2 linked regions of the Saccharomyces cerevisiae S288C genome follow. The protein of the gene in region 1 interacts with the protein of each later gene in a biochemical or structural test. Each region holds a gene or a part of one and is shown in the gene's direction. Other genes may lie near its edges.

Evidence for each region.
Region 2: the proteins of ROY1 (region 1) and YPT52 form a complex in vitro, tested with the Saccharomyces cerevisiae proteins (one study listed by BioGRID).

Annotation. Positions count from the first base shown.
Region 1 is NC_001145.3:782,104-786,111, reverse strand, and holds ROY1 (Roy1p), read left to right. Parts: upstream 1-1,830; coding exon 1,831-3,492; downstream 3,493-4,008. Other genes in the region: tRNA methylation protein TRM732, read left to right, coding at 1-1,491. UniProt on the Saccharomyces cerevisiae protein: Non-SCF-type F-box protein involved in the endocytic with the vacuolar sorting pathway. Acts as a repressor of YPT52 by inhibiting the formation of active, GTP-bound, YPT52. Involved in the defense mechanism against methylmercury toxicity.
Region 2 is NC_001143.9:464,542-467,711, reverse strand, and holds YPT52 (Rab family GTPase YPT52), read left to right. Parts: upstream 1-1,640; coding exon 1,641-2,345; downstream 2,346-3,170. Other genes in the region: YKR015C (uncharacterized protein), read left to right, coding at 1-751; PRY2 (sterol-binding protein), read right to left, coding at 2,764-3,170. UniProt on the Saccharomyces cerevisiae protein: Required for transport in the endocytic pathway and for correct sorting of the vacuolar hydrolases suggesting a possible intersection of the endocytic with the vacuolar sorting pathway.

The DNA of each region.
Region 1 (4,008 bases):
TTCAACGTTTCTGTTTATGAATGTTTATCAAATGAGAACTGGAAGATCAGAGATATGGCCTCTAGAGTATTGCATATGCTGTCGGAAAATTTTGAAGAAGAGATAAGAAAATTACTTGACTTGGCTTCTATCGCGAAGCAAAACCAGTTACATGGACACTTACTAGCACTCCAACAACTAGTACCACAATACCTTTCAGGAACTAGAGATATGGAGTTGATTCAAAGGATACTTGAAAAGAAAAGGATGCTTCTACTAGAGAACAAGTGCTTTATCACTAAAAAGGCCTACTTAAAATTGACCTGCTGTATATTGGAAACATGCGACATACCTGATTCTATTTTAAAAGATTATATCAGCACTTTGCGGAACACATTTATTGCTGAAAATAACGAATATGTTGTGGATGGTAGCAAACAGCTATATCTTGCACAAATCTTAGACATGCTCTTAAAATATGAGGATAGTATATATCTCGATGATATTTGCTTATTAGGATTGTATTCTCCATTTTATGAGGCTCAGCTCAGTACACTACAGTACATGAATACTAACTTTCACTGGGAAACTACAAGAAACTCAGAATTTCTTGAACAACTACAATTATTACTCAGGGTTCCAGATTTGCTGCCTATGGCTAAAGCTTTAGTAGTGAAAATTCTCTCAAGAAAAAAGAATACTTTATCCCTGACGACCTGCACTGATCTCCTAAAAACAAATAATAGTGAAGATACAAAACTTGCTGCCGTTTCATCACTAAGTGCTAAATTGTCTTCGCAAACCTTTCACCAGGTATGGAACTTGTTACAAGGATTTTTCGCCGATTCTTGTTCAAAAGATTTTAGATTGGCATCTTTAGAATGTTTAACTGCTTATCCAGAAAGTTGTAAGAACTCCAGAATACTATTACAACTGTACAACTTCTTATGGGACGATGATTCTGAAATAAGAGAAAAGGCTTCTTTTTATTTGAATAAGAACTTTATTCAAACTGCAGACTGGGAATATAACAGGAACACCAGTGTGACCGCTCTTATATTCACAAAAAAGTTTGTTGACGTATTCACAAGTTCTGAGGTGGTAGAAGAGTTGTGTTTACAGTTGTTTCAATATCTAAATGAATATGATATGTTTGCTGCCGAAGAATCGGCGAAGAATTGTCTATTTACTATAGAAAAGGATAACCAGTTCATCAACGAACTACAAAAGGCAATGCATATATTAAATATGATAAAATTGACTGGAAGGGATATCTCAAAGTGTTACAAAGACCAGATACATCACCTAAAAAGTGCTCTATTGGAGCACTTCAACACCGAGGATTTTAAAGATTCCCCACTCGGCTGGTGCTCTAATGCTGAAATATTTTCAAGAATAACGCTTTTAAAGGAACTGATTCAACATTATTCTCCTTCTGATTATGAGAATTTTATCAATGTTCTGACTAAACATTCTGTTCATCCCCTAATTATCAGTTATTCCCAATTATAAATAATGAATATGTACAGATATATACTTTGCATATAATCTGATTCATCTCTAACCTACTTGTGGATTTAGTGACGAGATTCATTGTGGAACCTATTACAAAGCATGTCGATTTCTATTCTAAATACAATGATGGAACTTGATTTAATTTCTTTACCGTTGTCATTTTCTTTTGAATTTTTTCCACCTCTTTTTTTGTTGAAAAATGTTCATGGATGGAAAATTAAAGGTGTGCCCTATTACAAAAGCAAGTTGTACCCCTTTACTAACTCTCTAGTCAATTTGAACTATTGTGAAAACGACAGTTGTGCTCACATGATATAACAAAAGTAATACTGACAAATGGCATTCCAAGATCAAGATATATTCATAGTGTTCTCGCATGCCTCCTTATTTCTTAATCAAAATGATTTATTAAGCCTAAGTCTAACATCCAAAAAAATGCATGACATGATTGCAATCCCTCGTCTTTATAGCAATATTCACATAACTAAGAATCCTGTTTTAAGAACAAACAAATGGTTTTTGGACGGGGGAAAAACTTATGTAAGTGGTTATAGATCTGTTCTGAAAACCGGTGACAAGAATGACATATTTTTATATGATAGAATTGAAAGGTTGTTGGAGACATCGCATTTAAAATGTATAAAACAGCTGACTATTGACGAGGATTTGTTTCACAACAGGGAAGAAGGATTGCAACTGTTACAAAGATTGGTCAATGAAATCACTGACTTGGACGTGATTGAAAGTCTTGACATCAAGGATCCTACCTTGTTTGAGTTATGTTCAGCAAAGTATTATCGCCTGTCAAGTTTAAAGAAGAGAGTAGTATATGGCGAAACTGGATTTGATGGTATCAAATTATGGCAAAACTTCAAAAGCTTAAAATGGCAATTACCTGAATCGTTGGATTTGCAAAACGTAATAATCCCTGAAGTGGGTGTAATGTTAATGAAGCAACTTAATGGAGGAGAGTTAGAAATAAAGGACGAAGCGTACTCAAGCCTAAGGGTCTTTGAATACTTTGATTCCCTGAACCTCCGCTTCAAGAATCTGCGCCGTTTGAAGCTTAATCATGTTCACAAACAAGGTGATGGGAGTGCTACTTCTATGAGATTATCTTCACGCGCGTTTAAGGATGTAGTTAATTTATCCAATCTTAAAGCCCTTGAATTAGAATTTTCTTGTGAGGTGGACGACTGTGAATGTGATGATGACTTTCTTCAAGATATAACAGGAAACCTTGTTTCCTTAACAAGTCTGGGGTTCATTGAAAAGACATTCACCAAAAAAGGGTACCATTACATGGACGAGAAATGGGACTTGGTCGTTAATAAGTTTATTTTAAATTTACCAAACGTGAGTAAAGATTTGCGTTTGTTAAGCATACGACATGACCCACCTTTAAATGGCAAGGGCATTGATACTGTTGATGGGAACTTGCTTCGCCGTAAAAAACTTTATGAAAAGGTTTTACCAAAGCTAACTTCGTTGGAAACAATAATAGCTCCAACTGTATTGCAGTCCATCACCTCATATGAAATGTATGCGTGTGACCTTTTGTGGAACGGCTGCAAATGTGCGTTCTGCTCCAAATACTTACCATTATTTGATAAGTACATCATGAATCATCAATACTTTTCGACCCCGGATGCAAGATACTTGGATATTATACCGATAGTGTTTGCAGCATATACTGGAAAATCTCTAGCTAAGAGGTTTGATCCTCAGAAGAACTGGGATTTGGATTTACTACAGTATGCCCCTGAGGATACGACGTGGAATTTCCATGGCTTTGAGAGAATTCATCACTTTGCAAGTTATGAATGTTATTTTGACGAATCCTCATTTGAGCCCTTAGCCACTATTATATCGCATTTTTTTTATCCTTACATGAACTACTTGATAAAGATATTGCCAAACCTTCGCCAAACTATGTTGTCAGGAATATACTTTAGCGTGAGCCCAGAATTACACACTTATGAAACTATTTATGATTAAACTTGATAGTTGTGATAAACATTTCTTATGTACATTTGTTGAAGGAGTTCGTATATATACAGCCAGTTGAGTAATAATTATATTTTACTATTGCATTTCATAATTATTACCCGGACCTTACGAGTTCTTCGAATAATAACCATATATTTCAGAAAGGTAGGCATACCGAAGGAAGAGACAATGAAAAAACTGAAATGAACAAGCTTCTGTATACGATCCAAGGATCAGAAACGGTTGTTATTTATTGTTTGGACTTCTTGTTGTTAGGCTTTATTTACCGTGCATAATACTATCTGATACTTTGAGAAACCCCTCCCCCCACAGAAAGGTTCAAAATTTACAATTGCTGCACTAGGTCTACACTTTCCTCTAGATTTGTAACTTGAAGACCCCATTCCAATCGTTTAACCTGTCTTTCCTTTTATTATCGTTTTATTCTCTTCCTTTTTTATAAAATTCTATCTGGTATAGAGCATTTTTATGTTGATCATAACTTTTCATGTATTCTATTAATTA
Region 2 (3,170 bases), on another chromosome or scaffold:
TGCTGTGGTAATAGGCTATGTAACAGAAGTGGATAAAGTAAAGGATGACAATGAAGAGAAAAATAACGACAGACCTAAAATTGCGAACGACGGAATAGCTCAAAAGTCTAGAAGCGAAAGTGAAGATAATGCAGGAACACCGATGGAAAACGCGTACTTTCAACCTGAACCCCAAGATAATGACCAAAACAACATATCTTGGAATACCACTATGAAAGATATTGATCCAATTTACATGAGTGAAAGATGTGCTAGAGTTTGGAGAAAGGAGCAACAAATGCTAGGATTGGAGAAGGCTCAGACATTTGAGAAAAAATATTGTAAAGATCAGATGGTTATGGACGAAAATCAGGTCGAAGAACCTGGTAAGCACTCGGAGAGACATACAAAAAATCAGGTAGTTAGACCTAGGACCAAAATAGCATCTTCCGCCAGTAAAAATGATAATAGTAATAATAAAAATAGTAAATCATGCAAAAATTGCCATAAAGAGGAAGCGCACGGTCTAGTGAGAGAATACCTTAAGATTAAACTCAACATATCACCTCATGGAGAAAGGAATCAGCGAACAAAGGACAAGAGAAAATGTATAATGAAATACAATGCGAGCAGTAACAACATCAACAAAATGCCTGGGGAGAGTGAAGTACTTGGGTCAACTATTTTAACAGATATCCACTTTAAGGATGTCGTAACTGTGAAATTTAGGGATTTTAAAGCCAAATTTAGAAAAGTCAAAATAAACGCTTGATTTGCCAAAAATGCTATAGTCGCATCTAGAAATCATTACCAAAACGTGACGATTAACATAATACATTCAAAAATAAGATAGGATGCATTACATTTCATTATACCGTGGATTGGAACTGAAGATGAAAATTGCAGTAAATAGACAATAATCAGGCCTTATGGTTGTATGTCATATGTATACTCAAGATTTGAACTTTATATCACCTTTATTAGCGCATTAGCGCACATTTTAGGCCCCATTTCGAGGAATGTGGATTTTTGGCAAATCAATGTTTCTAGGTGTCTCTTAGCTTTCTATATAAGGAGTAAGGTATGCTTCTTGATGACATCAACCGTTTACTATACTTTTTTTAGATATTTTGTTTTCTGCGATAAGTATGATGGAAAGTAAACTGGTAATAACGTCAATACGTACTCTCTTGTAATTGTAGTGAAGCACAGTAATTAATATTTAAGCGTTCCCATGTTCAAATGTGTGAAAGGTAGGTAAAATCATTATGTTAAATTTTGAAATCCACATGACCTTGAATTAAATAGGCACATCACGATTGTAAAGGAATGAAATCAATCTGACTCCAAATTACTCAATGTTCTTAACACTATGTGTATCATTGAGACCAAACGGCAACTTCATAGTGTCTTGCTTTCGTGGACAGCGACTACTATTCTGGCCGGACAATTCAGGTTTATAAAGCTCTGCCCCTGCGATATGAAGTTACAATGTTAACATACGGGAGTGAAGGGAACAGGCCCGTTTACCAACTGTCAGTATTAATTATTTGTTAAGTCGCTTCGATATCGAGCTCTGGACATATCTAAATTTTTTTTTATAGTGCGAGGGTAGGAAGAAGGTTTAACTTATTTGGAGTAAACGTATATATTATTAACAGATGTTGCAATTTAAACTAGTTTTATTGGGTGACTCATCCGTGGGTAAATCTTCCATTGTTCATCGTTTTGTTAAGGATACATTCGATGAACTACGTGAAAGTACGATTGGTGCTGCTTTTTTATCTCAATCAATCACTATTCACCCAAACGATGGTAATGAAACAAAGGATGTCGTTATAAAATTTGAAATCTGGGATACTGCTGGTCAAGAAAGATACAAGTCATTGGCACCAATGTATTATAGAAACGCTAATGCAGCATTAGTTGTTTATGACATTACGCAGGAAGATTCACTACAAAAGGCAAGGAACTGGGTTGATGAGCTGAAAAATAAGGTAGGCGACGACGACTTGGTTATTTATTTACTGGGAAACAAAGTGGATTTATGTCAAGAAACGCCTAGCACTGAGACAAGCCCAGATTCAAACGAAGGTGGAGATGAAGAACAAAAAGTAAGAGCAATTAGCACTGAAGAAGCGAAACAGTACGCACAAGAACAAGGGTTGCTGTTCCGAGAAGTTAGTGCTAAGACAGGTGAAGGGGTTAAGGAAATTTTTCAAGATATTGGTGAAAAATTATACGATTTAAAGAAAGACGAAATTCTCTCTAAGCAAAATAGACAAATCGGTGGAGGCAATAACGGACAAGTAGACATTAATTTGCAAAGGCCATCCACAAATGATCCAACATCTTGTTGCAGTTGATATCCTATGATTTGTGTTTTAGAGGAAAAACAACAGAAGTTGCTTTAATTAAACTGCTACTTTCCGATAATAAAGCAGTATATACGTAATAATGTAAAAAAAAAAAGAAAAGGGAAGAGTAACTTTATATATGATTGTACATATACAGTATACATGAATATATATATATATATTTATATATATATATATATATACGTAGCCGTCGGCAAGATCTCCCAATTTTTTTCGTTCACCCTATTTACCATGCATGAGACTATGACAATGTTATATGATCTTGCTTGCATTTAATTTGCGTACCCTAGAAAAGAAGAATCCTTAGTGTATAATAAAAATTGAAACTATAAAAGAGAAATGTAAGAGAAGGAACAGTGCCCATTGCTGTTCATGTCCATACCCATGTATTCGCTAAATTCAGTGATTAAGCTAATGGCATAACGTTGTCAGCAAACTCACCAATGACATTACCAGCGGCTTTGTAGGAACAAATGATGTAATCGCCCCATTCGCCACCGCAAGATTTCAAACCGCAACCAACTTCAGAAGTTCCCTTCCATACGACTTGGGTGAAGTGACCTGCGCTTTCACTAAAACCAGGGTTGGAATAGTCGTAGCTGGTAATTTCGTTATACCAGGCATCAACAGAGCCGGTCGTACCGTAACCAAGTGCCAAGTTTTCACCGTATGGACCGCCGGAGTGGACTAGGTTGCCTGAACAATCGTAGGAGTCAGCGTAGTTTTGTGCATATGTTGCTAGTGTGTCAGACCATGTCAAAGAACCGGTATCCTTGTGCAACGCCCTTTTAGTGTTGTGTTCGTTAACCATTG